Linked DNA regions of Mus musculus. The protein of the gene in region 2 purifies or fractionates together with the protein of the main gene of each other region. This does not show direct contact. Links are inferred from orthologs where the notes say so. Each region holds a gene or a part of one and is shown on either strand. Other genes may lie near its edges.

What was found.
Region 1: the proteins of Atm (region 2) and H2ax purify together in Homo sapiens (affinity purification with western blotting; 11 studies listed by BioGRID and IntAct, with this or other methods). This does not show direct contact. The link is inferred for Mus musculus from reciprocal best matches to the Homo sapiens genes ATM and H2AX.

The regions. Positions count from the first base shown.
Region 1 is NC_000075.6:44,327,861-44,343,331, forward strand, and holds H2ax (histone H2AX), read left to right. Parts: upstream 1-6,854; 5' UTR 6,855-6,901; coding exon 6,902-7,333; 3' UTR 7,334-8,217; downstream 8,218-15,471. Other genes in the region: Dpagt1 (UDP-N-acetylglucosamine--dolichyl-phosphate N-acetylglucosaminephosphotransferase), read left to right, coding at 93-306, 1,131-1,277, 3,258-3,342, 4,044-4,232, 4,703-4,790, 4,956-5,111, 5,197-5,262; Hmbs (porphobilinogen deaminase), read right to left, coding at 8,812-8,985, 9,066-9,152, 9,258-9,311, 9,496-9,615, 9,792-9,830, 10,055-10,168, 11,618-11,693, 11,788-11,865 and 5 more. UniProt on the Homo sapiens protein: Variant histone H2A which replaces conventional H2A in a subset of nucleosomes. Nucleosomes wrap and compact DNA into chromatin, limiting DNA accessibility to the cellular machineries which require DNA as a template.
Region 2 is NC_000075.6:53,448,134-53,463,875, forward strand, and holds part of Atm (serine-protein kinase ATM), read right to left. Parts: intron 14,453-15,742; coding exon 14,348-14,452; intron 12,988-14,347; exon of another isoform or gene 12,878-12,987; coding exon 12,758-12,877; intron 11,815-12,757; coding exon 11,580-11,814; intron 10,844-11,579; coding exon 10,670-10,843; intron 9,359-10,669; coding exon 9,245-9,358; intron 8,576-9,244; coding exon 8,361-8,575; intron 7,843-8,360; coding exon 7,635-7,842; intron 6,697-7,634; coding exon 6,583-6,696; intron 6,315-6,582; coding exon 6,156-6,314; exon of another isoform or gene 6,148-6,155; intron 5,538-6,147; coding exon 5,399-5,537; intron 5,303-5,398; coding exon 5,220-5,302; intron 3,557-5,219; coding exon 3,416-3,556; intron 2,502-3,415; coding exon 2,385-2,501; intron 70-2,384; coding exon 1-69.

The DNA.
Region 1 (15,471 bases), about 9.1 Mb from region 2:
ATCACCAACTCCGAAAAAAAAAATGGAAAAGACAGGAATTCTTGACAGAGTAGAAGTAGGTGTGAGTCATTACGTGCCCACTTCTCCCCCAGTTTGTGGCCCTAATAGGTGCCCTCCTTGCCATCTGCTGCATGATCTTCCTGGGGTTTGCTGATGATGTCCTCAATCTCCGCTGGCGCCACAAGCTGCTGCTGCCCACAGCTGCCTCACTACCTCTCCTCATGGTCTACTTCACAAACTTTGGCAATACAACCATCGTGGTGCCCAAGCCCTTCCGCTGGATTCTGGGCCTGCATTTGGACTTGGGTGAGTAACCTTGCCACTACTGCCCCTGTGGCACCTACTTTCTGGTACCCTTGCCTCTGAGGTCCCAATAGAGGACCCCTCCTGGTGGTCCATATCCCCATCAACCATTTCTTTTCTGTCCTTGTATCTACTTTCTCTCTTTTCCCTCCTTCTTCCCTATCTCTTATTTCCTTCCTGTTTCAAGGAAGTCATGCTTGCACTAAGACTTATTATCAAAGCTTTTCCTGTCTCTGTTTTGTATTTAAAACAAAAACAAAAACAAAAAAACAAAACAGGGTCATAGGGCTGATGAGATGGCTTAGCGGGTAAGAGCACTGACTGCTCTTCCGAAGGTTTGGAGTTCAAATCCCAGCAATCACATGGTGGCTCACAACCACCTGTAATGAGATCTGACACCATCTTCTGGTGTGTCTGAAGACAGCTACAGTGTACTTATCTTTGGGCCATAGCAAGCAGGGACTGAGGGAACAGGGTTGACCTGAGAGAGCAGAGGTCCTAAGTTCAATTCCCAACAACCAGATGAAGGCTCACAACTATCTGTACAGCTACAGTGTATACATAAAATAACAAATACATATACATAAAAATAAATAAATCTTTAAAAAACAAAACAAACAGGGTCACACACTAAATTGCCTTGAACTTATTTAGCCCTGGCAGGCCTTAAACAGGTAATCCTCCTGTCCCAGCCTTCCAAGTAGTTAGAATTATAGGCCTGAGCTACTAGACCTTGCCTATTTGGATCCTTTCTGGTGTTCCATTCATCTTGTGCTTTGTTCTGTTAACAAACAAATCCAAATCCTACTCCTCGCTGTGTCCCCCAGGGATCCTGTACTACGTCTACATGGGGCTGCTTGCAGTGTTCTGTACCAATGCCATCAACATCCTGGCGGGCATTAATGGCCTAGAGGCCGGTCAGTCACTAGTCATCTCTGCTTCTATCATTGTCTTCAACCTGGTGGAACTGGAAGGTAGGTGAGATTGGGGAGAAGGAGAAGTCTGGGTGTTAAGGGAATTGCCTGGTATGACTCTAGAGAGTTTCTTGTGTGTGTGTAAGGGGTGGGGAATGACAAGACAACAGTGATTTTAGAATGGGAGCTATTTACTTTGTACACAGCAATAAGGAATTAAGCATGAGAAACAAAAGCATTAATGCTATCATGTATAGCTTGATGGTCATGAATAGCTAGACCAATTCTTTCTTTCTTTTTTTTTTTTTTTTTTCTTTTTGGTTTTTCGAGACAGGGTTTCTCTGTGTAGCCCTGGCCGTCCTGGAACTCATTCTGTAGACCAGGCTGGCCTCGAACGCAGAAATCTGCCTGCCTCTGCCTCCCAAGTGCTGGGATTAAAGGCATGTGCCACCACTACCCGGCGACCAATTATTTCTATTGGGCATAAATAGCTTCACAGAACCCCAGCAACAGGTACGATCACTCTCTGACCATAGTGGGGAAAGACTCTTGCCTTCCTAACCCTGTCTGATTACAGATAGACCCAGAACACTTAGCAATATAAAAATGACCACAATCCCGCAGCTAACATGAGAGGGTACAGCTTTTTTCAAATAACAATTTAGTTCTTCCTGCTTCCTTTTGTTTTGTTATTTTGAGACAGTCTTGCCATGTAACCCTGGCTAGCCTCAAACTTATGATCATCCTATCTGTCTCCTAAGGGCTGGAATTGCAGGCCTGCACCACCACACCTGGCTTCCTCCTACTCTTAAAAAAAAAAAAAGTTAAGTTATTCATGTATTTGGCCTTCTGTGCTCCCAGTTTGGAGCACATGTCTACTTCCTTTCATCCCTTCCCAAATTATCCAAAACAAATTCTAAAATAAGCCCCTCATATTGAAATATTTTACGGTTCCCTCTGGTGTATGATTCCCAAAGTCTTAGTCTCTATGTAAGCCCAAGTTTGAGTATTAGTTACTTTTGGTCGTGTTGGACATCAACAAGTGCTTATTAAGCCTAAGCGCTTTGTTTTGAGACAGGGATGTACCACGTTGCCCTGGAACTCACAGAGCTCCAAGTTCTGAGAGTAAAGGGATGTGTGCCTCCCCTTGTCTCCCAGCTAAAGCTAAGCATATTTAAAGCATTATCTCATTTAAATTAAATGACTCTGTATAACTGGCAGTACCCAGTTTTTGACAGATAAATGGAAGCTTACCAAAATTCAATGTGTCATTTCACACAGCTAGGAAATAAAACTGGTATTCAATCAAATCCCAGCTGGAATTTTTAAACCACATTTAAGATAGTCACTAGGTTTTCTGTTGTTTTCTCTGTCTCTCTCTGTGTCTCTCTCTCTTCCTCTCCATACCTCTGGCTATCCTGGGACTCACAATGTAGCCCAGGCTGGTCTTACACCAGGAGATATTCCTGTGTCTTCTGAATATTAGGAGTCACTAGCCTTTTGGTTGTTTTTTTATGTTTTGTTTTTTAAAAGATTTTATGCATGTGGATGTTTTATCTACATGTACATTTATCTGTACACCAGAAGAGGTCACCAGATTCGATGAGACTACAATTATAGATGGTTGTGAGCTACCATGTGGGTGCTGAGAATTGAATAATTGAATTTAGGACCTCTGAAAGAGCAGCTAGTGCTGTTAATCATTGAGCCATCTTTCTAGTCTGTTGTTAGCTTTTTTTTTTTTTTTATAGGTCAATGAAAGTAATGAGAGTATCGGGAATGGCCTGGGTGATGTGAAAGGGGAAGTTAGAGCTGGGCACGGTGGCAAACACCTGTCATCCCAGCACATGGGAGGTGCCCGCCAGACTTGGCTACATAGGAAGTCAGGGAGCAGCAGTGGCAGGGTGGGGTAGAGTTGGTCTTGAAAGTGACTTGGGTGCTGTGTTCCTAATGGCTGGGAACATAAATTAGATACAAATGAGACCAAGGTACACAGCGGGATGCCGGTACTGACTCCCTTCTGTTTGCTTTGCTCCAAAGGTGATTATCGAGATGATCATATCTTTTCCCTTTACTTCATGATACCATTTTTCTTTACCACCTTGGGACTGCTTTACCACAACTGGTATGTAGGCCTATGGATGAGAGAGGAAATGATTGATGTATGTGGCAGAGATGGGCTTGACATAACCCAGCTTCTAATGAAGAGACTAAAATTGCTCATACTTTTGTTGGATATTCTCTGGCTCTGCCATTGGTAGTAGTTTGCCACTCTTGTGTGAGCACAAGCACTCGTCTGGTGTGTGTGTGTGTTTGTGTTTATGAACAGGGTATTAAATCTGAGGTCTTAATGCTAAGCAAGCACTTTAGATTTTAGCTGTATCCCCAGACTTTTTTTTTTTTTTTTTTTTGAGAATAGGGTTTTAGTAAGTTGCCCAGGCTGGCCTTGAACTTACGGTGTTGTCAGGCTGGCCTAGAAATACAGGCATGTGCTATTAGATCCCACCCTTCACCCCACCATCTGCACACCCTCGTGCTGGGGATCAAATCCATGACCTTGTACTCGCTAGGTGACTGCTTGCCCGGTGAGCTACAGAGCAGCCTGGTGCTGGTGTGGAATCCCTGCCTATCCTGCAGGAGTTGGGAACAAATGCTGTGTAGCCCCTAGGAGTAGATGAGTTGGGGGCCGTGGGGCCTATAGAGTTTCTGGAACAGCCTTTCTTTTAGAACTCAGGGTCAAGGCTGGCCTGTTACTCAGAGCGAGTGACTGAAAGAAAGAGTCAGTAACAACTCTTGCCATTGGCTGAAATCCTCTCTCCCACACAGGTACCCGTCCCGCGTGTTTGTGGGAGACACCTTCTGTTACTTTGCGGGCATGACTTTTGCCGTGGTGGGGATCTTGGGACACTTCAGCAAGACCATGCTGCTCTTCTTTATGCCACAAGTATTCAATTTCCTCTACTCACTGCCTCAGCTCTTCCATATCATCCCCTGCCCTCGACACCGGATGCCCAGGTAACCACTCTGGGGCTTTCAAGGGTCATAATAGTTTCTGACTTGGGATAGCTAAAGCCAACTTGCATTTCCTATGTAAAAAAAACATGAGGGGAAAGATGAGCCGACTGTATGTGGGTAGCCCATTGTAATTTACGAAGCTCGTTTACTTACATAGTATGTAATGCTTACAACAGCCCTGATCACGGAGCCAGAAACCAACTCCAGTACATAAGTACTCAGTACTCTTTTTTTTTTTTTTTTTTTTTTTTTTTTGGTTTTTCAAGACAGGGTTTCTCCTTATAGCCCTGGCTGTCCTGGAACTCACTTTGTAGACCAGGCTGGCCTTGAACTCAGAAATCCGCCTGCCTCTGCCTCCTGAGTGCTGGGATCAAAGGTGTGCGCCATCACGCCCGGCCTCAGTACTCTTCTTAGTAACCAGGGTGCAGAGGTCTCTGATTCAGTCAAATGAAATTATCTTCCCATTGCAGACTCAACGCAAAGACAGGCAAACTGGAAATGAGCTATTCCAAGTTCAAGACCAAGAACCTCTCTTTCCTGGGCACCTTTATTTTAAAGGTAACAAGGTAACAGGAGGTAAGGCCCGAGGCCGCCATCCTTAACTTGGGAAAAGAGAAACCTAGGCCTTTTCAGGCCCAAGGGGAGTTTGGGAACATCAAGAAGATCCCTATTCGTGAAGTAGATCTGCATAACTGAAGTCATCTTCACCTCTGGTCCCTGCAGGTAGCAGAGAACCTCCGGTTAGTGACAGTTCACCAAGGTGAGAGTGAGGACGGTGCCTTCACTGAGTGTAACAACATGACCCTCATCAACTTGCTACTTAAAGTCTTTGGGCCTATACATGAGAGAAACCTCACCCTGCTCCTGCTGCTCCTGCAGGTACAGCTCAGGGTGGGGCTTAGTAATGCCATGGCGTTTACATCTCTGGTTGGCCTTGCTTCTAATTCCAGTCCACTTCTCCCAGGTCCTAAGCAGCGCCGCCACCTTCTCCATTCGTTACCAACTCGTCCGACTCTTCTATGATGTCTGAGCTCCCTGACAGCTGCCCTTTACCTCACAGTCTCCATTGGACCTCAGCCAGGACCAGCCTCTGTCTGGTCCGAGATGACCCTCTGGTCCAGGCCTCGCTGACACTTTTGTTCTCAGCTTCTGCCATCTGTGACTACTGATATCCTGGATGGACACCTTGCTGGACTTGAAGTCCGCTAGTTGGACTTTGCCTAGGGCTTTCATCTTGCCTTGCCCTCCCTTTCTGTCCCATCTGCAGCCTCACCAGGTGGGCTTGTAGCCTCTATTATGCAAATATTCGTAGCTCAGCTTTCAGAGCGCTAACTCTAAAGGAATTCACCTGAGCCTTGAGAGAGAACCTGGGCTAGGGCTAGAGTTAGGGCTACATACTCCAAGGTGACCTCACATTTGACTATCAAATGAAGTGTTGTGATTGGGAAGCGTAGAGGCAGGGCCATGTGCTCAGAACGGTGACAATAAAGGACTGCCTTTTACTTGTTCCTCTAGTGTAGCATCCCCTCCCTCTGTCCTTTTTAACCTTCGTGGTGCTTCAGGAGTGAACACCGGGGCTTCCTTATACTTAACTGCTCTACCACTGAACTATATGCCAAGTCTGGTATATTTATTTTTTATATAGGCATTTTAGGATAGATTGGAAGGGTTAGACCGGGTACCTTTCCCAATAGGATACCGATCTCTGTTCCATCAGACCCTTTCTTGCAAAAAAGGCCTGTCACAAACTAAGACCAGACAGAACATGTTGAATAAATATCGCAGCACAAACTTGTGATAGCATAAAAGATCACAGTGCTCCATTTTCTGGCATAGGATTAAACTCCTAGGAGGTTTCATTTCGTTTCTTTTAAACCCTCCCTCCCTTTAATCTGCACTAGGGAGGCAGAGGCAGGCTGATCTCTGAGTTCCAGGACAGGCAGGGCTACTCAGAGAAACCCTGTCTCAAACAAACAAAAGCCAGATGGTGGTGGCGCACGCCTTTAATCCTCAGGCTTGGGAGGCAGAGGCAGGCGGATCTCTGAATTCAAGGCCAGCCTGGTCTACAGAGTGAGTTCCAGGACAGCCAGGGCTACACAGAGAAACCCTGTCTCGAAAAACAAACAAACAAACCTAAAAATAATAATGAACAAATAAACCCTCCGTCTACCAGATTAGAGGAGGGAGTGGGAAGTGCTCTAACCTGGAAGGAGAACGCTGCTTATAGTGTAGACCCTTTTCCTTTAAGACCAAAGACCGACTCAAATTTCCCAGAAACTGTAGAGGTAGCTCCAAGCTCCACCCTTCTAGTCTTCAGGTTTTGTTGTCGCGCCGTAGCGTTTAAATTTCGCGCGCTCTACACGGATTGGCCATTTCCAGGGGTGAGCAGCCTCCGGCTTGCGGCCACTCCGCCTTGTCTTCTTCCCCGGGTAAAAGGTTTTCAAATTGGACCAATCACTGGGCGCGTTCTCTCAGCTAAGGCGCGTCACCGAAGGGTTAATTGCAACCAACCAGAGGTGGGTATTAAAAAAGGAACCAATCAGGAGGAAGCGGGGGCGTGTCCAGGGAGTTTATAAGGCCGGGCTTGGCCGGCCAGGCGACCGTTGACTGCGGCGGTTGGTAGTTCGTGGTCTCTCAGCGTTGTTCGCAGCTCTTCTACCTCGTACACTATGTCCGGACGCGGCAAGACCGGCGGCAAGGCCCGCGCCAAGGCCAAGTCGCGCTCTTCACGCGCCGGCCTTCAGTTCCCTGTAGGCCGCGTACACCGGCTGCTGCGGAAAGGCCACTACGCCGAGCGCGTGGGCGCAGGCGCGCCGGTGTACCTGGCAGCGGTGCTCGAGTACCTCACTGCCGAGATCCTGGAGCTGGCGGGCAACGCGGCCCGCGACAACAAGAAGACGCGCATCATCCCGCGCCACCTGCAGCTGGCCATCCGCAACGACGAGGAGCTCAACAAGCTGCTGGGCGGCGTGACCATCGCGCAGGGCGGCGTCCTGCCCAACATCCAGGCCGTGCTGCTGCCCAAGAAGAGCAGCGCCACCGTGGGGCCCAAGGCGCCGGCGGTCGGCAAGAAGGCCTCGCAGGCCTCTCAGGAGTACTGAGGGGGCCCGCGCCGAGGCCGCCCAGCCCTCCCCACACCTCCACAAAGGCCCTTTTAAGGGCCACCACCTCCCTCACAGAAAGAGCTGAGCCACTTCGGGCTGCGGCGGCTTGCCGCGTCCCCATCCTTTCTCTTTCCCTCCTCTCCCCTCCCCGCCCTCGCGCCACTCTTCCCCTTACCCCGCACGGCCTCCGGTTCTGCCACGGAGGACGCGGGCGCCGCGGCACCTGCCCATCCCGGAGCTCGTGACATCGCTTCGCCGTTCTCGGTTGTGGACGACGGCTCCGTGCGGAGAGGCTGCGGCGCCTTCCCGGAGTCTCGGCCCCTCGCTCAGACGTCCGGCCGCGGTGGGCTTGAAGGTTAGTCCCTCCGCAGCTACAGCCCCGGCGTCTTTGCTTCAGCTTGGTGCTTAGCCCTCGCCTGGACCTTTGAAAAGTGACTTGATTGCCGGGCTTAGAGGAGGAGAAATGGATCACATTGTTTCCTTCGGTGTCACCGTTGCTGGCCTCATACCAGTTGACCCTGTCGCCATTCGTAGGCCAGTGTGGTGTGGCGGGGCCAAAAATGGTTGTAATGTGAACCCAGTTTCTCTAGGAATACCTCCCGGCAAGGGTCAGAGAGACGCTTACCGGCCTGTGGACAAGAGTTCTATACCTGCCGCAGGCGACTGGCAGCCGGGCCTAGCCATCCATCCCCTCTTCCCCAGCGACTCAACTACAACCCAAACACCTAGATACCAGCACAAGCCGGTGAATCCCTGTCTGGACTGAGCCTCTGGCTTCTGAACTGGAACTTTTGCAGCTATTACAAGTTTAGAACCTTAAGTGGGGAGATTTAATGGGCTAATTTTATTAAAGGATCGTTTGGTTTTGTTTTTTTAAAAAAGTGGTTTAATGTTGAATGCTGTAGTCCCAGGGCTGGACATATAGCTCCGTGGTAGAGCCATGTGCCTGGCACATCTTGGGAGAGAATGGGACTTCCCTTTCTGCAGGCCGTGGGAGTGGGAAAGGCTATGTAATCCACGAAGATCCCGTTGACTGAAGACAGGCTGTAGGAATTGAAGGCTGATTTTTTTTTTTTTTTTTTTTTTTTTTTTTTTTTGAGAACATGAGGCAAATCACAGCGTGTTTTACAACAGAAAGGTCTCAGACTCAATTCAAGTTTAAAAGGGCTTTGGGTTTATTCATATCTTCCCCAACTCTATCAGAAGAACCACATTCTAAACTGGTTTATTAGTGGTATTGGTTACATTCAAAGATTGGCATGGACTTTCTCTAAAGAGATGAAGCCCCCAACTACTGAGGGAAAGGCAGATATGGAGGCCCCAAGGTGAGGCATATCTTCCAAAGTGGAAGTCTCAACAACCCCGTGGTTCAATTTCCTGGGATAATCACATCCCTAGGGATGGAGCACAGGGCACTTGGAAGCCAGAAGTAGGCAGTGGAGTGGCAGCCAGGGTTCCTGTGCCCTACAGACCAGTTAGCGCACATCATTAAGCTGCCGTGCAACATCCAGGATGTTCTTGGCTCCTTTGTTGAGCAGCAAGCTGGCCAGGCTGATGCCCAGGTTCTCAGCAGCTAGCTGGGCTCCTCTTGGAATGTTACGGGCAGTGATTCCAACCAGTTGTGGGTCATCTTCTGGACCATCTTCTTGCTGGATGACAGGTTACAATTTTGGTAAGAGGAAGATTACAAGCAGTTCTATTTATTCCTTCCTCATCTCCCAGTCAATACCTGAACAGGGACCTGGATGGTGGCCTGCATAGTCTCTTGCATGCTATCTGAGCCATCTAGACTCCAGACTCCACCAGTCAGGTACAGCTAGGAAATAAAATGTTTGTACCAGGATATTTAAAGAAAGTTACTTAGATGTTTCGGTGCACATGGAAATGACAGTCCCTCCCCTCATCCATTTCCCTGGCTTACTTGCCCATCTTTCATCACTGTATGCACTGCTACGGGCACGCTGCAGCCTCCTTCCTGCAATGATATGTTCCTTTGAGCTCTAAGGGCCTTTAACACCACTTTTGACCACAGACCTCAAGGGGCCAGATCAAGGTCCTCTCCATACATACAAAACATTACATACTGAGTACTTGACAAATCTCTCTCCCTACTGCCCTTCCTGGTTTCCCCACAACACCATGGGAGGAGCCCATCTTACCAGGTGCCTCAGAAAAGCCCTTTCAGCAATGCAGCGAAGCAGAGTTTCAGGATCGTGCAACACACTCACTAGGTCCAAGATATCCTGGTCCTTGGCTCGGACTTCCACGGCTAGGGCTCCCTAAAGAACAACAGGCCTGATCTTCTCTAGTAATAGAGCTAAGCATGAGAAACACACCTCTACCTGCTTCCCTGGGTCTTATGCATAACAACCAAACCTGTCCCTCTCTAAACATCTTATTTGATGGATAGCAGGTGCCAAAGGTTATGAACCAGGTTCTCTCCAGGCAAACCTACCTGACCCACAGCATACATGCATTCTTCTGGGTGCAAAATCTGTGGAGAGAGACAAGATGGTGGGATAGGGGATGTTCAAAGGCAGTGAGCTAGGGTTTGCCAATCTAGGAAGCCTGGGGAAGGCACAGGTAGGAAGTCCAGCAATGAGTCCCAATATCCCTAGCCTGGGCTTCTGGTTGTAGTGTTGTTGGCAGAATGGTCAGGAAGAAATCAAGGCAGGAGAGAGGCAGATTCAATGGGAAGCAGAACAGGGCAGCTCCTACCTGGCCCACCCGGTTCTGCCAGCCCATGCGCTGTAGGCCAGCCACAGCCAGGACGATGGCACTGAATTCCTGCAGCTCATCCAGCTTCCGGAGGCGGGTGTTGAGGTTTCCCCGCTGTGGAGCGTTGCTAAGGAGAAGTCAAGACCTACCCAGTGCACCCTCTGCCCCACAGTCTCTTTTCCCCCCTCTAGCTAACTTTTAAAAAACTTTTGTTTTTGTTGAGTGGTGGTGTATACACCTTTAAATCCCAGCACTGGAGGCAGATACAGATCTCCATGAATTCAAGGCTAAATCTGGTCTACAGAGAGAGTTCCAGGACAGGCTGGGCTATACAGAAAAAGCCTGTCTAGAAAAATGGTAGAAATGAAAAAAAAAAAAAAAAAAAAGCTGGGCAGTGGTGACACATGCCCTTAAGCCCACAATTTGGGAGGCAGAGGTAGCCGGATTTCTGAGTTGGAGGCTAGGCTGGTCTATAAAGTGAGTTCCAGGACAGCCAGGGATATACAGAGAAACCCTGTCTCGAAAAACTAACTAACTAAATAAATAAATAATAAAATAAAAAGACTTCTTTGGAGTCGGGCGTGGTTAGAGCACGCCTTTAATCCCAGCACTCGGGAGGCAGAGGCAGATAGATTTCTGAGTTCAAGGCCAGCCTGGTCTACAAAGTGAGTTCCAGGACAGCCAGGGCTATACAGAGAAACCCTGTCTCGAAAAACCAAAACAAACAAAAAACAAAACAAAAAAAGACTTCTTTGGATAGGATCTCATAGTGTAGTCGTGGCTGTACTGGAACTTGCTCTGTAAGTTTTATTTTAGTTTTATGTGCATGGGTGTTTTGCATGCCTGTCTCCAAAGGCCAGAAGAGGGCATCAGTTCCCCTAGAACTGAAATACGAAATAGTTGTGAGCTACGGTGTGAGTGCTAGAAGTTGAACCGGGGTCTTCTGGAAAAGCAACCAGCACTTTAAACCCCTGAGCCATCTCTCTAGCCCCAGGACACACTGTTTTTAAAATTAGTTTTATGAAACATATCACATATTCACTGTAAAAACCAAAACCACTTAGCAGCACAGAAAGTAAAAGCAGAAGCGCCTCTGTCCCTGCCACCAGGAGTGGTCACCGGTCAGTATTACCTGCACTGCAGTGCCTGCCTGTCTGTCTAACATGTCAGCTCTATAGAACGAGGAACCATGTTTGTTTTGCAATTGTCCTCATTGCCAGGCCATTAAAGGGTGCCAGGCAGTGGTGGCCCACGCCTTTAATCCCAGCACTCAGGAGGCAGAGGCAGGCGGATTTCTGAGTTTGAGGCCAGCTTGGTCTACAAAGTGAGTTCCAGGACAGCCAGGGCTACACAGAGAAACCCTGTCTCAGGAAAAAAAAAAAAAAAAAAAAAGGAAAACATTAAAGGACTGTGGATGTGTGGATGGATGGATGGATGGATGGGTGGGTGGGTGGGTGGGTGGGTGGACGGACAGCTGGAAAGACGACCCCCTGACCGCATGGACCACTTGCTTCGGAAGGTCCTTCTTTCCCTCTTTTTCCCCTCCTTCTTCTGAAAGGATACAATACTCTTGAATTCCAGGTGGGGGAACTTTCTCTGTAGCTGAGCCACTCTCCTCAGAGAGCTGGTTCCCACGGCACTGCTCAGAGAGAGTTTAGAATTAAACTTAACCCAGGCTGCCAACTGTTCTCCACTGTCCAGCCCTCTCTCCCCCGCACACTAGGCCCACTCACCTTTTCTCTGGCAAGGTTTCCAGGGTCTTTCCAATAAACTTTGGGTGAAAGACAACAGCATCACAAGGGTTTTCCCGTCTGCAAAGCAAATGATGAAATAAAGGTATTAGCATTTGGAGATAAGGCTTAACTCTAGCCCAGGCTGACCTAAAATTTTCTCTGTACCCCAGGCTAGCCTTTAACTCACAATAACCCTCCTGCCTCAGCTCCCTGAATGCTGAGATTATAGGCATGAGCCACCAGGCCAAATTCATTTTATTTTCTTTGGAAAGGTTTTATATTTCTTTCTTTGTTTTTTCTTTTTTTTTTTTTTTTTGGTTTTTTTTTTGTTTGTTTGTTTGTTTTTGTTTAGTTTTGTTTTGTTTTTAAGACTGGGTTTCTCTGTATAGTCCTGGAACTCACTTTGTAGACCAGGCTGGCCTCGAACTCAGAAATCCACCTGCCTCTGGCTGCCTCCCAAGTGCTGGGATTATAGGCGTGCGCCACCACCACCCAGCAGGTTTTATATTTCATTTCCTTGATTGTTTCCATTTTCATTGATGAGATGAGGAGCATAAACATTCTACAGCATGTATGCATGAGTCAGATGACAACTTGTGGGATTCAACCCTCTTCTTTCACCAAGTGCACCCCACGGACTGAACTCAGGTCATTGGCTTGACAGCAAATGCCTTTACCACCTAAGCCACTGTAAGCCAGCCTTCTGGTGCCCCTAAGGCACAATCTAAGTTCCTCGGGCTGGTTCAAATCCCTCTGTAGCCCAGGCTGGCCCAGAATCTCTGATCCTGTCTTAGCCTCCCCAGTAGCTGGGATTTCAGGTCCGTGCCACTGAGCCCAACTCCACAAACTCTAAATAGTCAACCAATTGGCTTTCCTGCCACACTATGTCTGACAACCTTCAAAACAGAGGGCTAAGCGGTCAAGTTCCAAATGGAAAAAAAAACAAAACAAAACAAAACAAAAAAAAAAACTCAAAGATTCCCACAGTAGGATTAATCCTGCCCAGGGCCCTCCCTCCCATGCATGTCCTCCCCGCTTACTTGCAGATGGCTCCAATAGTAAAGCCAGGAGGTAGTATGGTAGGCACATCCTTCAGGGAGTGAACGACCAGGTCCACTCTGGAGACGACATGGGGAGGACACAGAGAGAGGCTTTGAGTAGGTGACCTTACCTCCACCACCCACCCCAGCATCCTTGACCGTTCAGGAAGATAGCATCTTAAGATCTAAGACCTGGTCTCTTCTCAACTACTCTACCCCATTTCCCCAGACAGTCTGATTCCCCAGGTAGTTAGGCTACTCCAAGGCAAGGCTCTCTCCTCTGTGAAAGCCTGTGAGCTCCACAGTCTAACCCGACAGTCCTGCCAATATTGGGGAGCCACTTTGGGGTTCTAGGCTCGGGGTACCACATTCCTCCATCCTCACTCACTCGTTTTTTTCCAGGGCGTTTTCTAGCTCCTTGGTAAACAGGCTCTTCTCTCCAATCTGCCAGGCAAGAGAGAGCCTCAGAGTGAACCCCTTACACGTGGGAGAGGGACAAGAAGAATGGGGACAAGGACTGGCGTTACCTTAGAGAGTGCAGTATCAAGAATCTTGTCTCCCGTGGTGGACATAGCAACTGAGGAGAGAGTCAATCAGATACCCATTAACACCTACTGAGTCACCCCTCGTTCAGGCCTTGACTGGATTCACAGTGGAGTCTGAGGCATAGAAGACCCAGCCCCTACTCTCTCAGATACACACACCGACAGAAAAAGCAGACATACTCATAAAAGAACCCAAAGCAGAAAGTATGAAATGTCAGGCTAGCCCGGGCAGCTGGAGGAGATGTGCACAGGAGACAATCTTTCTTTCCCTTCACAAGCAGCCAGAATAGTCTTACAAGGCAGGCTTTGACCACAGGCAAAGCCAGAGATGCCCTGTCCTCCGGTTCACTGGCTTCCCGTTCACTACCAATCACTCCTCTCAAGAAAACTTACTGATTTCAAACTGTATGCCAGGGTACAAGGCTTTCAGCATCGCCACCACAGTGTCGGTCTGTATGCGAGCCAGCTGGGGAAAGAGAGTCAGATGGTTTCTCACCTCCCCTGGCCACTGGCCCAGGCTCAGACCCTCATATGGACCAAGAAAGCAATGAAAGGGGTTAGACTTCTCACATGAGGCCTGCCCTGAGAGTCCCTTCTCTGTACCCCAATCATTTCCCTGCTCCAGAGACTCTCTTTTCTGTACCCCATGAAATCGACTCTCACACACTCTTATTTGCTCAATGCTAGCCTTTGGGTCCCACTAGTGACCCTGTGAGTCTCTGGGTCCCACTAGTGACCCTGTGAGCATTACAATTCTTGAGACAACGCGCTATGTCTGTACTCACCTGGCTCTTACGGGTGCCCACTCGAATCACCCTCATCTTTGAGCCGTTTTCTTCCTGCAGAAGAAAGTCCCTAGGTTACGATCTTTTCCTCATTCAAAGAACTAGGATCACAGGCTTAGGAAAGAGGACTCCCAGGTCCTAGGCAGGTGAGGCTGCTAGGAAGGAGAGACTCCCAGGACTGGTCCTTGAATCTTCCTTGGTACCTTCTGCCCTCCTACGGGATCCAGAGAAGCAAGACCAGAGGAAAAGCTGTAATAGGATCTGTTGTGGCAGCAGCAACAGGACACTGAGCCCCAAAGCCCAGCCTGGCCAAGGAGGTTCTGAGTGGGAGGGCTGCACACAGCCAGGTGGGCAAAATGATAAGGCCCATCAGCCTCGGCACAGTGAGGGTGGGCCCTGCTGGAGGGTGGGGCCTACAGAAGCTGGGGCAGGACAGCCGAAGCCTCCCATTGCTAGAGAACAAGCTCACTGTCCACAACAACTCAGGCACTTGAGAAGGCCTCACTAAGCCCTGGGTGAGTCACTAAGCATCCCTTAGTACCACCAGGATGTACTCCTAACAAGGACTGAAATCAACCAAGCTAATGTACAGCCCTTTCATGCCCTTGGCTGGGTGACTTTGGGAACATCATCCCATCAAGGGCTTGTTAAATTAAAGGCCACCTCATGCCTCAAGAAGTCCCAGAAGACTACAAGAATAAACTGCCTAACAGTCATTGCCTACTGGCTTCCTCTGGTGTCTTAAGCCAGAGCCAAGAGCTCAAAAGGACACACCTCTTTCTTTTGTTAAGGCGCCTTGGATAAAGGTGTCTAGGGCCAAGCAGGTAGAACTGGGTTCTGCAGTCTGATACAAAGGGGACAGGAGTCACTGTACAGATTGTCCCCCTTCCCTGCACCAGGTTCCTCATCTCACAGGTTCTTCTATAACCAGACACTCAAGTTCTTGGTCACTGAAGGTGAAAACTTGCTCTTGGACTCCAGTCTACTCCACTGCTGAAGATCCCTCCAACAAACGACTCTGAGATAGCCTTTGCAATTTAGCTGGGCTTGAAATAACACAGAAATTTCGGACAACAGGGAGCCCATAGAAAGGAATTGCTAAGTTCAAACAATTTGTTTTTTAATTAATTGACCCAGAACAGCATTTGAGCCGTGTCTGCATATTGTCCTTGCAACAACCCTACTAGGTTAGACAGGGTAGGTACTTCCACCCGTGTCACAGAAGCAAAGATGCAGAGTGGTCAAATTACTGTCTAAACATCTCACAGCTATGAACAGACAGAAAGTGGGTGCTGAAATCCAGGCCTTCCTACC
Region 2 (15,742 bases):
ATATTCACCAATAGGAACGGTTCCTGTGCACCACTCGAGAACACCGCTTCGCTGAGAAAGGGGAACCACCTGAGATGAAGTCAAATATCTCTGATTAGAAAGACATTAAAGAACTGTCGGTGACCATTGATCATCAGCCAGTACAAAGTATGTGAGGGAAACACTCATACACATAAAATAAATCTTATCTTAAACAACAATAACAACAAAACGGCTTTTACCGACTTTTAACTTTTGTTTTTAGCACTGACTGAGGATGTCTTGGGTTAGGGATGTAACTCAGTCGGTGGCATATACACTGGGTTTTTAGAAATGTATACCAGAAAATGTTTTAAGGCTTATTCTGTATTCTGACTTCCTCCAGTCCCATCCACACCGCACCTCAGTGTGGGATATTGAACTCTGGGCCTTATACCTGATAGGCAAGCATTCAATACTTATTTTAAAAATTTTTATTGAAATTTTACTATCACACATTATTTTCAAATAAGCAGATATTTTTCAATGCTATCCCATTTAAGACAAATCAAAGTTTGTGTTTACATGTTCTATTTTCCTAATTTTTAAAATCCACTCCTGTACTTGTCAACACCACTCCTAGGCAGTTTATTCATGTTACATAGGGATGGTCTGCACCTACACATACTGTATCAAATGGTGTTGTAAATGTGGCCCTTGTATTTTCAATTGTCAATTGCTGTGCCAGCAGTGCCAAGTGCTGGCAGGATATTTGGTATTGTCATTTCTATGGTGCATTACCTGATTTCTGTAAGTAAATGTTTGTCACTTCCTCACCTGCACCAAAGAGGATTCCCTAAGACTGTCATGATAAAAAGCAAGCTGCCATGGAGGAGGCCATGGAAGGTGACACCGCCTTCAATCTGGCCAAAAGGACACCACCCTATGAACGTGGTGTAGTCCTGCTGCTCTGCTCAGCGGGGGGAAGCTGTGGGACCTCTCCCACTGTGCTAGCAGCTTTTGATAGGAGAAAGAAATGTGACTTTTGCTAAATAAAGAGCTGGTGGCTGGAGACGGGGCAGAAGAAAGCAGAACGTCTTGGCAGAAAGACAGAATCATGGACAAAAATGAAGCAGGGATGTAAAGAGAGAGATGAGAGAAAGAGAGAGCTCGCCACATGGCTGGACAGGATGGCAGTCAGGTTAAGTTAGAAGCTAGCTGAGAGACTGCCCCAGCAAAAAAGCCAAGAGCCTTCAACTATACAGATATCTCAGCTTCTTTATTTCTAAACCTCAAGTGGGGTCCCAACACTCCATAATACATACTACCTTTTCCCTCTTCTTATATAGGGACCACGATAATTTTCTTTGTACTGGTCCAATTTTAGAATCTGTGCTGCTGCAGTGAACATGATGATACATACTCTTTAACTGTTGTGAAGGGAACACTTTTCCAATGCACTTTAAAATATTTTACTAGTGTTTATCTTCTAGTAAAATATTTGAGTGTCTAGAGAAAATAGTTGCAGAGTTTACCCTTCTGAAAATAAAGAAACAGCCACTGAGACTGTTCTAAAAAGAGCTGGTTCTCAACTAGACGTGAATTAAATGCTTTTCAGTTTGTTCCTATCTTCCTGGGGAAAGATAAGCAGCAAGAAGCCCTGAGACAGCAGTGACAGAGGATGGAGATGGGGAAGAGAATGTGGGAACAAAGCCGGAAAAGGACAAACCTTCACCTCTTAGGAAAAAAGATCAGCTAATGATAGAATAACAGGACCCGAGGATTTCTCAAGTGAACTGTGGAGAAAATGGAAATGGGTCTAACTCCATTGACTGTCCTACAGTAAAATCTACCAAATGAAGGTTGCAGTGTCCTCTCACTTAGCAATCCAATTTCTGAAAATCTTTCCAATAGATTGACCAGAATGTGAAATGAACGAAGCATGCATGCTCACTTCATCTGTTCAGTGCAGAGTATCACCGTGTGCAGTAACACAAGCCCAGAAATAACCAAAATGAACCATGCACAGATAAGCAGCAGCATAATCCCTACAGCACATTACTTACCACAATAAAGGGAGACTATTGCTGTTGACTGTAGAAAATGTCTAATGGCAGCCAACATTAAATAATACTAAAATGAAAATTAAAGTTGTGTTGTCCAACCTGAGAGTGGCAATCCATAGCCTCTGAAGCAAAACCAGTATCAGTCTATTTCTGTACAGCTTGTGAGCAAAAGATGACAGAGATTTTAAAAAGTCATAAGTAAAAATTAAACAATATACAAAAGACCTGAATGGTCCTCAAAGTCTAAAATATTTACTAGTTGTTCTTTTACAGAAAACATATGCTCATTCTTGGTCCAAACAGTGCACCTTCCTTGGGCAAGCTGCAGAACACAAGCTACCTTGCAGGACCACAAGTTACCTTGTATGTGCAGATAGTCAGTTTCCTCTTTCTAGTCTCAGTGTTTCTCTGCAGTAGTGTATTGCACATCTGGAAGACCTGCTGCATGACAGCATCTTGCCTCAGGTCATCACGGCCCTTCAGAACAACCAGACATGAACAGGCAGAGTTTACTTTATTATAAGCACAGAGTCATCTAAGAAAAGGCAGAACTAGTCAATCTGAGTTTCTACACTCATCTTCAGAATGTCTTGAATAATTAATACCTACTGTCATTTTTCACTTAGAAAAAAAAAAAAAAACAAAACCTATGAAACTGGGAAGCAGATTGATACAAAGGCCAAGTTCCTCTTAGCTGCTTCTCTAATAACTAAACTAACTCCTTCAACTGAAGGCACAATACAAAACACCCAAATAAAGTAATCTTTCATTTCTCTTCTATTTTCAGCAAGACTCCAAAAGCACCTAAGCAGCAATGCAAAGCAGGGAGTGCTGCTACTTCTCAGGAGCAAGTGGCACTGTGTCAGGCCCGGGATATTGAGTACAGGCCTTAAATTGTTCTAATCCCCACCATAAGCCTTTTTTACAAGTAAGCTCATAGCGTGTGCAATTCTTTCTCTTGAATCAACTGTGCAAGAGCCTGCTAAGCCCAGTACTGCCGACTTACAGTCTCAGCTTCTCCAGAGGCTCAGGTAAGAGGGTCTTAAATTCAAGCCCCGCCCAGGGAGCTTAGCAAGACCCTGTGTCAAATAAAACCTAAAGGAGAGCTGGGATGTAACTCAGAAGCAGATGAGCATGAGCGAGGCCCTGGTTCTAATCCATAATAGCAGGACACAAAAACAAAAATTACAGTCTTTCAGAGAAGACACACAATTCTAAAAAGCAGTTTGATTCTATCACACTGTATTTCTACTTCAAAAATGTTTTCTACCTGTCATTATTCAGGATAAAGCTAGATCCAGACAACCAAATGAGGTAAGAATTAAATATCCTGCTGTTGATGTTGATGGCATTAATCCTCTGAAGACTATACCAGAAACAGGAAGTCTTACCTTCACAAGCTGTCTCCTTTCCTTGCCATCAGAACCCACACAATCTATTATTTTGGGTAAATTTAAGCCTCCAGCTAAGCGAAATTCTGTTTTAAATGATTTTATAGTCACCAGATTTTCATACTCTCCTGTGGGATCAACCTAATAAATGATGATAAATAATTATTATAGGTCAGACAAACAAAACAGGAGAATAACTAATGATAAACAGTAAACAACCACAAATGATAACTCTGCTAATTAACAGCTGGGTTTCTAATTTCTAATTTGTTTAATTCAAGTTAGAATTAATGACACTGATAGATTTTTATTACGTTTGCTTATTTACTTGGTGTGTATGTGTGTGTATTTGGGTGACCACACATATGTGTCACCATGCTGGTACCCAGGCAGAGCTCTGGTTTAAATGATTGGCAGCAAGTGTCTTTACTTGCTGCCCAGATTTTTAAAATTACATATAACACAGTTTACTTTCTTAAACATCTTTTCATAAATCTTCAGCATTTTAAGTCAATTAAATAGTACTGCTGAAAAACTACTGAAAACTAGAACTTAGTTGTTATTTACATATGTTGAAAAAAATCTAAGGAATTATTTAATTCACAAGAGTATCATGTAAAATTTTAAAAGAGGAAATATTCAGCTAAACCACATAGCCTGTATCTGTTAACCTGCATGATGCAATAATGGGTCAAACTCAGTAACAAGAACACTAATCTTAGTGTACACATTGGAAGGAGAAAGAGAGCTGTACCATGGACCTAACGCATCAGCTTCTAAAATGGTAACCTTTAGTGTTACACACATCCTGCCCACATGGTACTTCTAGGAATAAAAGATCACTATGAATAGGTGTTTAGTACGTATACACAGCAACTTAGAGGTACCATAACACCTACTGTTTTACTAAATAATATAGTTACATCACAGCCAATACATCCCAGTGCATACTGAATGACTAAAAACCAAAACGGCGACAACAAAAATGATGGAGTGGTGTTGCCCACCCGCAAACCAGAGGTAGAGTGTTCCATCACCATGGGCATGAAACACACCCACACACTGAGAAAGAATAATACAGAGAAAAACAGTGAACGGGACACAGGTCTGTAGTCCCAGGTACTCAAAAGACAGAGAGGAGGATGGTCAAGTTCTAGTCTTGCTTCAATTACAGAGCAGGTTCATAGTCAACAAAGTGAGACCCTGCCTTAAACGTATAAAAAAGGCTTCCCCAGTGCATAATAGGTTCAGTCCCTAGAGTTAAAATAACAATAAGAGATAACAGGAAAGAAAAGAAGGGAGGGAGGGAGGGAGGGAGGGAGGAAGGGAGGAAGGGAGAGAGAGAGAGGTGGGGGAAGGGAGAAAAAAAGAAAGAAAAAAATCTAATGGACAACCTATAGGTAGAAAGATATGAAACTACAATAATTAGCCATTTGGACTGAAAAAAAATCTACAAATAATTTAATCTACTAATGTGTAATTTAGTCTTATTTTTTTTTAAAGATTTATTTATTTATTATATGTAAGTACACTGTAGTTGTCTGCAGACAGGCCAGAAGAGGGAGTCAGATCTTGTTACAGATGGTTGTGAGCCACCATGTGGTTGCTGGGATTTGAACTCCGGACCTTCGGAAGAGCAGTCGGGTGCTCTTACCCACTGAGCCATCTCACCAGCCCGTAATTTAGTCTTATTAAAAATCAAGAGTTAACCGTCTTCTGGAGTGTCTGAAGACAGCTACAGTGTACTTAGATATGATAAATAAATAAATCTTTAAAAAAAAATCAAGAGTTAATAGTAAATTACCTTAATTTCCATAGTGGGAACAACAACATCTTCTAAATTCTTCAGTTTAGTGATTGGCTGGTTGGCTGGAATATTGATGCCTTCTACGTTAAAAATAAATAGATTTTAGTGACAGCTGTAAACGGAGGACTATCACTGCAGGTCAAGCTGGACAGCGGCAGTGGTACTTTCACACATACTTCTCTGAGCCCTCCACTGAGAGGCGTCCATGTTTGCCAAGATGATGTAGGCATCGCAGAGCGCCTCCATGTCCTTCACCATCTTACATCGCTTACTTCTGATGGAGTGGATGATTCTGGTTGCAGCCTCTGTTCGATCCTACCATCAACAACAAAGAACAAGACCCACTAAACATTTAAGTTTCTTGGAGCTATACAAAGAGAATCCATGCACAGATCTAGACAACGAAAGGACTATAATTCCTCAGATGCAAACAAAACACCCACTCAGGGAATGAAATACACACATAAAAAAATTCAAGGTTAATGACTTGGGTACTTTTCAAAAATCTGTTTTTCTGGGCCTAGAGAGATGGTTCAGTGGTTAAGAGCACTTGCTGCTCTTTGGGAGGACCATGGTTTGGTTCTCAGAACCTACATGGCAACCCCAGGTCCAGGGACATCCAAAACCCTCTCCTGGCTTCTGTAGGGGCCAGATGTACATATGGTGCAGAGAACCACTCATGAATGTTACAAATAAATCATTTTAAAGATCTGCTTTTTCTTTGCCCATTGCTGCCAGAAAACAAAATCAAACTGGTATTTTAAAATACCAGCTTAGAAATTGTTAACCAATTCTGGGTGGCATCATCATAATAAAGGATATAGAATACTACCAGAAACATACATTCTTAAAGTCTCTGAGAATTAAAAAAGGAATATTCTGGGGAAGAATGACCATCACAACACAAAAGGGTACTTGCATTTACCCAAATACCTCATCAAGGTGAGAGTTTTCTTTAGATGTACTTTTGGTTATTCGACTCCTTCTTGTTGTCTCTGGTTTGCTCAAAAATTCATCTTTGTTCGCATTTGCTAAGGCCAGTATAATGAACAAAGTATGATGGGGGTGATCCAGTGAAATCCTAGAGATTAGCTATCAGAAAAGTAGTAACTATTAGTTTCGTGCAAATAGAAAAAAACCTTAAATATACATTTTTAATTTTACTTTACATCAAGTTCAAGTTAATGTCATCATTGTATAGTAAGTAGTGGGTGTGTATATCTGTGAGAGAGAGCTATAGAGGAATGTCAGAAATAAGAGACAAGCTTATCTGCAATGAAAGAGAAAGTTTAATATTTTGATTTCACATGTTTACTAACATAAAAGGTAGTTATTACATTTTGACTTCAAGTATACTTACATTATTGAGGACTTCGTGAAATCCTAGGCCTCCCGTCATTTTGGTCCCCATTCGAGCAGCCAATTGATACATGAGAGGCAAAAACTTATAGGATGAAATCTTCATTCCATCTTTCTGCCATTAAAAAAAATACAAAATATAGAAACATGTTTGTAATATAATCTTATATCTATGGTACCTAAAATAATGATCCTCCACTAGTACACCCTAGTGGCTGTCAAAACTTTACTAACTAGGCAATTTCCCTTACCTCTTGGCCTATCTGAAAGTCTTTCTAATTCGACGCCTCGGTGATAATAAAATTTACCTAGTGATTCAGTGATAACAAAAATCCTTAGCCCTAAGTCACACTGCATCCAGAGCTGGTATGCTAACCCCACATCCAGTCCAGTGACTCCAAGGAGGATAGATACGAATCTGAGTCTACTGTGGTCTCAACTCCCAAGAAGTCGGGGGATGGGGTGGGGGGGGGGTAACAAAATCAAGTTCTTTTCCCTACATGCCAGAAGTAATGAGGTTTAACACATACAGTAGAAAAGACTGGTTTTGTTGATTTTGAGTCTTACCATTCTTTTCATTCTGGAGAAACATTTTATCTTTAACCTTTAAACTAAATATATACTTAGTTTATATATTTATTTTATGACCACATCTTAAGATATTTTTTCAATGAAAACTTTCAAGTACTCCTGTACATGTTATGAATTTTTTTTATTTGTAAAAGGACTGTATTAGGAAAAAAAATCCCTCAAAAGCACAAATAAAACAAAGGAAAATTCTTGCTTAGCATCACATTATTTTTATGTTTCCTATTCTCCAGTCTAGCATTCCCCCCTATGGACTCCTCTGTGTTATCTGCAGAGGTAAAACACCTACAGAAATTCTCTCGCCTCCACACACACTTGTATCACTGAGAGTTTATAAAGTACTTATTTATGGAGCACCAAACCCATTAGGAGGGGTACACAGGGATGTGCAAAATCCCACACTGCAGGGGCTTAGGCCTCAGTTTTTAAAGTGTATGCTCAAATGCTGGGTTGGGTAAGACTTGCCTTCATCATGCCATTGACTTCAGAAACTCCAGAATTTTCAAGCCAGAGGGAGCAAAGCCGGAACACCCACAGATCATGTTCTTCCCCGCTTAGTAAGCAGTTGATGTAGTTCTCCACTGCTTTACACAGGAAGCGCTTGCGATCCTCTCTCAGTGCACGGAGAGCACATTCGTCCAGCTCCAGTTCTCGCTGAACCTTTACTGTGTATCTTGATAAATTCAAACATAACAGTCACAAACCTTTACATAACTATAAAATCATACATGATAAGACAACATCAATGAAATACAAGGTGTTCACTCCAAAAAAAATTCTAAATATAATAAAAGGACTTGTCACACCTGCAATTAATAGGTCTTCCACACACCCAAGGACAGGGTGGACTCTAAGTTAATCCTCTGCTTACTCCAAACATACAAAAACCCAATGCAGACTTAGAAGTACTGTGACAATATCAAAGTAGGCAAGTCTGCTATACTTAATGTCAGCTTCTAGTAAAACCAAACTAACATCCACGTACTCTGCCAAGAGCTAAACCAAGACATTAATTATTCATAGAAGAACATGTCAGTGTATTAACTGACTGAAGTTGTGATTAGCCACTAGAGGACTGAGAAAGCCTATTAAAAAGCTAAGTTTTCAAAACTATAATTCAGATGACAAGGTCAGGGCAGTTTTCACGTCAGCAGCCCCTCAGCCGAACATAAACCGTCAGCTAAAAGTTACCTGTTGGTCTGAATTTTATGTTCCCTTAGAAGGCCCACTTCCTCTTTGGCTCTTTTTAAGAGAGTTTGCTTGTTTTCAAATTCTGATGACTTCATGTAGTTTTCAATTCTCTGGTACTGAGTATCAGAGAACCTTGCCAACGAGAGAAAGGCCTTCATCTGTCCATTTCTGAGCTCTCTGCTGTTGCCATCGTAACTTCCAGCAACCTTCACCGCCTTCAACAACACACAATCCATTAAGATCATATTTACATGCATAGATATAGCTAAAGACTCTCAGACCAAGGTAGCCCACTCAAATCTATGTAAATGTGAAACTTAATGGCATGGAACCTTATCAGGTAACAGCTGCAATGAACTGTGCAAAAAAGAACTCTTTAGTATCAAAGACATTTATATCTTATGTTTATGATATAATAATGGCTAAGCCATCTCTCCAGCCCGACATTTATATCTTACTTTTCATACTGAACTTCCTATTTCCCAAATTAGTGAGACTAAAGGACAAAGAAGGAGAAACAGGAAGGCCAATGGGGATTATAGAAGTGAAGTCCTAACCCTTACCGTAAGTAGTTGGACAAATAGCAATGATGGCTTCTATGTTTAATAGGACATTTTGTAGAATAAAAGCAGAGTAATCAGAAATGACTTCTTGAACGCTAGGGGTGGGTATAAAGAGTGGACGGAAGACATTCATGCATTCAAAGCTGTTCCTCCCTCTGTGGCATTTTGCTTCTTTCTGCTCTAACGGATTACAGAGCCCCAGCAGGAGCTGAAGGATTGAAACCACACTTGCGTTTGCTTTTAAGATACACATGGTCTTCATAAAAGGATCAAGTATAGTTATACTAAACAATAATGTTCAGAGCTGTGCCAACAACCTACCTTTTCTAGATAGGTCTGCATGATGACTGCAGGGTTTTCTAAGCAAGTTTCTGCCAGCCAGCTGCCACAAACCCTCAGACACTCTGCGTATATGACTTTGAGACCTGCATCATTCTGTATCAAGAAGCAAAAAACTTAAAATGTAATTCCTTTTCAAGATTACAAAAGTATCTTCCATGTAGATAGAAAAAAAAACAATTAAAAATATTTTCCTCATACTTTTACCGTATAAATAATTCTAAGTATGCCAGTTCATGAAACAACCACTGTGAACTGTCTAGTTATTGTTGTTGTTGTTATTATTATTACTAACAATTTGCTATTACTATTAATACTATTAATTATTATTTTAAAATGCCAGGAATTTTCCAATAGCTTTATATATATTAATGCATAATTTTCACAGGAATACTATAAATTAGATATATCATTATTACCTATTTGTCCATGCAAAAAATGAGGTATAAAACTACCACATATGTTAGGGACTATACGATTTAGGAGATATTTAAGCAAATTCTACTGGCACCTAATGCTTTGTTATAATTAATATTTCATGACCCTGCAGTGTCCTGTCCACTGGATGTGATATTTTCAGAGCACTAAGAATGACAAATTATGGGCTGGAGAGATGGCTCAGGGGTTAAGAGCACTGACTGCTCTTCCAGAGGTCCTCTAAGTTCAATTCCCAGCAACCACACGGTGGCTCACAACCATCTGTAATGGGATTCGATGCCCTCTTCTGGTGTGTCTGAAGACAGCGACAGTGTACTCATATAAATAAAATAAATAAACCTGGGGGCTGGTGAAATGGCTCAGTGGGTAAGAGCACCCGACTGCTCTTCCGAAGGTCCGGAGTTCAAATCCCAGCAACCACATGGTGGCTCACAACCATCTGTAACAAGATCTGACGCCCTCTTCTGGAGTGTCTGAAGATAGCTACAGTGTACTTACATATAATAAATAAATAAATAAATCTTTAAAAAAATTATCATCATCTTAAAAAATAAATAAATAAATAAATAAACCTTAAAAAAAAAAACACTTTAAGAATGACAAATTGTTGTAACTTGTTTCCTACTTTTCTTCTCTCAGACATTTCTAATTCTATTTTTGTCCTTGCTACTTCAAAGTTATAACATGTATTTCCATTTATTTCCTACATATTATTTTTGACTTCTGGAAAAACTGAATGAATATACTACAAGACAGACTGATAGATTTGTTTTAAATAAGAAAGTTTTCAAGTCTCATTTCTGACATTAATCTTCAAAGTCTCTTTTCATATTATTTTATTTATGGACCCGTAATTTCAAAACCTTAATGTAGTCATTACAGACATATTCTGAAGCAGAAATGCTTTCTGACAACATTCAATCACGGATGCAGCCACCCCACCGACGTGCACACAAAGCACATACATACCTCTTTATCTTTAAAGCTGGAGTCCAACTTCTTGATCATCTGCTTGAGAATACTCAGAGCAAGACTCTGCTCCTTTTTTGCCCAGAATACTTGTGCTTCTTCCAAATGCCACTCAGAAATTCCACAAATAGCTGAATTATATTGCTTAATTTTGAATATTGCTCTTTCAGGGAGCTACAGTGAAAATGCATATGGAAATAAATACATTTACTGGTAAGATATCCACTGAGAACCTCATTTTTCAGAGACTATCTTAATTAGTTTCCTGCTTACTTACCAACCTGCAGACCACAAAGTCTGACAAGTGTGTGTGTGTGTGTGTGTGTGTGTGTGTGTGTGTGTGAGAGAGAGAGAGAGAGAGGGAGAGAGAGAGAGAGAGAGAGAGAGAGAGATCACTGAATTGTTACCATTACATTATAGTAGTTTGGGAATCTTATTTTATAACCAGGAAATTGGGGGCGAGAAATGATAATTATTGCCTTGCCAATGTTTAAACTCAAGTTTTTGTCTAATTCCAGTATGAAAGCTTTGTTTTGTTTTCTCACTCGATACTGGGGTTTGATCCCAGAGCCTTGTTGTATTAGCTATGCAAAGAAGCGTGCTATCATACATCCATAGTCCCAACCCTTTTATACATTGAAGACAGGTCCCACTAGGTTTTTCAAGGGGACCATGAACTCATTGTCTTTCGCAAGTAGGCTCTGAACTTGTGATCCTCTTACCTCAACCTCTCAAGTGACTAGGATTGTAAGTTAAGTACAAGCCCCAGTCAACCTAAAATCTTCAATAACTTTATATACAACGATTTCCAATTTTCAGTGATATTTCTTCTTCACATCATTATACCTTCTGGTATCTGAGTAATAAAAAAAGCCCAAGAAGTGAGGTAACATAAATATAAGCTTTTTACCTGTGTGTTCTTGAAGGTTCGAGCCAGAACAGAGAATTCAACGAGGTGTTTGGTGAGAATGTCCTTAGAGCATGCTCCTTGAGAGCGCTCCATTTCCTTCTGTACCAGGGTCTCCAGAATGACTGTGCGCAGAGCCATGAGAGGCTCCTGAAAGCTGAAGTCGCTGTCTTTCAGAAGCTGGGAGTGCTTCTGCCACTTCCAGTATGCTTCAGAGCGCTCTCTGTCTGTGACTGACCTGAAAGTCAAGTCACATAACTTAGTTGAGCAAATGAAAAATACTTAGGACAGTGCAAAGTTACATGTAGTTACAGATAATGGGTACTTTAAAAGGTAGCCTTTAAACAGATTTTGTTCAGAAACGAGAATGCTGCATTCAGACCTATCATAAAGACACGTCTACTCTGCTAGTCCTCATTGTGGTGAAAGCAGACATATCTACAAGGAAATCAATTAATTTTCATTAATTACCTACAAATGACACTATACATAGCTGTCAAAAAAATCAGTTCATTGAACAAACAACGGGCACTTGAAAACATTTCATCTGCTAACATTATTAAACAGAAAACAACTCATTTGTATGAATACTTTGCCTTTCACATGCCTAAAATATGTTACACTATCCCATCTTTCAGGACTTGTGTTGAGAGGGAGAAAAAAAAGATCCAGTGAGACTAAGAGAATAATGAAGTAAAGATGAGAAATCATTTCAGTTGCTTGTGCATGTTCATCAAAACCAAGCTTCTACTTCTGTCACAAACGACCCCAGAACAACAGATCTACAGTATTTTAGACAAAGGCATCTCTATATACTCTTAAAATTAAGGTTCTGAAGAGCTTCGATTTCAATTCTTAGGTTATACCTACTGGCATTACATTTCTCAGTTGGTAAATGTCTAGAATGTGTTTACTACACACACATTAATAAATTTATCCAGTTTATTTTATAACAGATCTCCCCTTCCCTCCTGCTGTGTGCCATCAATACAACCTCTCATTCAGGCCAACACAGAAGCCGCTAATCACAGGCTGAAACCTTTGGAAGCCATGAGCCCACATAAACCTTTCTTAACAAAGCAAATAATAATCAATCATGCCCATCACATGTTTCCATTGCTGACACACAACACACAACAAGCAACACGCTTCAGGATTAGCAAAACCCGCAAGCCACCTACCTTGAGAAAAGCTCGCCACTGTTTTCCAGTTCTCCAATTGCCTGCAATCTACTAAGTGTGGGATACAGCGAATATACAGACTCAAGGCTGCCCTTACTCAACTCTTCAACTTCTTTCACCCTAGGGGTAAGAGAGCAGATCATCTGAAACTGACACGTCCTCAGGGAGATAGAGGTTCAATTCTATGGCTGAGCAATACTTGTCATACACTTGTTGCTGACCTGAAAAGACTACACACACACACACACAGAGAGAGAGAGAGAGACTCTGGTGAAACAGCAGTAAAGACTACACACACACACACACACACACACACACACACACACACACACACACACACAAACACAGTGGTGAAACAGCAGTGTGACCAGCCTTGGGATTATACAGTTCTAAGTGTAAAGCCCAGTTCTGCCATGTCTGTCTGGCTTTGAACCTGCTACCAAATCTTGCCACAGCTATTGTTTTCCACCTTTAGAGTTAAAGAGTATGTATAGAAAGAGCCTGACAAAAGGTCTAGAATACAATCACGTTAAAAGTAGAAATATTATTTCTGCCATCTGTCATAGGTTATTTCTCCATCACTGGTGAATGAGCCAATTCAGGCCAGATTAGATTATATTAAAGGCAGGCTTATTGGGAAGCAGCTCTCTGGTGGCCGAGTTCACTAGCCCCAAGGTCCAAGGCTGGGAAAGTCACCACTGGGAAGGGGTAGGGGAGGGAGAGACAGAGAGAAAGGGACAAGCTCACAGACAGAGAAGAGGAGAAGAAAAAAAGAAACCAAAATGCCTGGATTATATAGGGAGGATCCTATGGAGAAAGGGCAGCCCAGCCCCTAGGCTGAAAAGTTCAGGATTCGGGGCAGGGCATTCCAGGCAGGAACTGAGGGATGCTGGGAGAACATGGAGGCCAGGTCTGCTTTGGTGTGTAAAATATGCACTGCAGTCCCCTGTTCTGGGGTCTAAAACCAAACAATATGTATAGGATTTGTGATGTCAGTGGCTAGTGTTTAAAATATTCATGTTTGGGGGCTAGATAGATGGCTCAGTGGTTAAGCACACTGGCTGCTCTTCCAAGAGGACCAGGGTTCAATTCCTAGCACCTACATGGTGGCTTAGAACTGTCCGTAACTCCAGTTCCTAAGGATCTGACACAGACATATATGTAGGCAAAAACATCACTGCATATAAAAAATAAATAAATCTTTTAAAAAAATTAATGTTTCTTTAACTTGTTGCAGATAATTGCTACATCATATATCATTTCATGTATGCCTCAAAGAAACCTATTTTAGAAAGTAGAGCTATGACAGTAAGAGAGTGAAGGCTATGAAACTAGAAAAGACAAAAGTCAACTCTTTTAGGATACCTGAACGAAAAGAGAACACTATCACACTTTCCCTGAGGGCTCAGACTGAAGAGCTGACATAGGTCCTGAAGAAAGTATTTCTTGAGAGCAAAGGATGACAAATATCTGAACACAGCCACCAAGCCTTCATCCCTTCATCGATGCAAATGCTTACATTAAAACTACTCATTTTGAGGATAGCAGCCACAGCATTAAATATAAAAACAATTTGTCTTTTTATAATACCTGGCATATCGGAGACTTTCATAAAATGTGGAGAATTCTCTGTTTCTTAGACACTGCAGAGCATTATACAACGATTCATGGTAACTGGTTCCTTCTACTTCTTGGCTGTGACATGATTAAAAAACAAATTTAAAAACAGAAAGTTCCGAGACAGTCATGGTAACTAACTAACTAACTCAAAGGACAACATTGAGAACTAAAATTAAGATTTCTCATAAAAATTTGCAGAAATTAAGAAAAACATGTAGCTGGTAATTGGTAGGCAGAGGCAGATGGATCTTAGTGAGCTCAAGGCCAGCCATGGTTGCATAGTAAAATCTAAACAAACAAGCAAATAACAAAATAAAACAAAGCAGTAGGAAAAGGAAAGAATTTTATAGGCCATTTAAATTCTTTAAAGAAAAAAAATAACCTTAGAAATTCTGTTTGGTTCCCAATCTTATATGTAAGATGAATATTGAAAACATGAGAACAGCTGAGAGGTGGCGGCAGTGCCTTTAGTGCCAGCACTCAAGAGGCAGAAGTAGGAGCTCTACCTCTGGTCTACAGAGTGAATTCTGGGACAGCCAGGATTACACAGAGGAACTCTGTCCTGAAACAAACTCATCTACATATAAATAACTCTGGATCTGGCGAGATGGCTCAGCGGTTGAGAGCACTGACTGCTCTTCCAAAGGTCCTGAGTTCAAATCCCAGCAACCACATGGTGGCTCACAACCATTCGTAATGAGATCTGATGCCCTCTTCTGGTGTGTCTGAAGACAGCTACAGTGTACTTACTTATAATAAATAAATAAATCTTTAAAAAAAAAAACTCTGCTTTTATACCATTCCTTTAATAGAATTTGATAAATACTCCAATATATGAAAATATTTTTCCATTAAGATAATTAAAATGACTTACTTTTTCAGTGTTATATCATTAAAAGATTTTTATGTAGTTATTAAATCCTTCAGTACCCTAGGTGTTCTGGTTATCATTTTAAAAATATAGTGATTTGACAAACTGGTTAAAACTTTTACCTTCTAGCATAACTTGGTTTATCAATACATCTTAAGATGCCTGGTTATCTATTTGTTTTTAAGGCACTGTATCCTGTGTAGCCCTGGCTAGCCAAGTACTCACTGTGTAGACATGGCTATCATCAAGCCCAAAGATCCACCTGCTTCTGATTCCTTGAGTGCTGGACTAAAGGTGTGCATCATTACTTCTGGGCCTAGTACTGCTTTCTAACAGCAACAACAACAGCAGCAACAAAATATTAACAAGGGTAACTTATTTTATCACCCAGCCAATAAAAGTGCATATGACTACAATGCAGCAAGTAGTGCAAGGGAGAAGGCCTACACTTGTCTTTAGATTCCTCAATCCAACATACAATATTCTCATAGGAA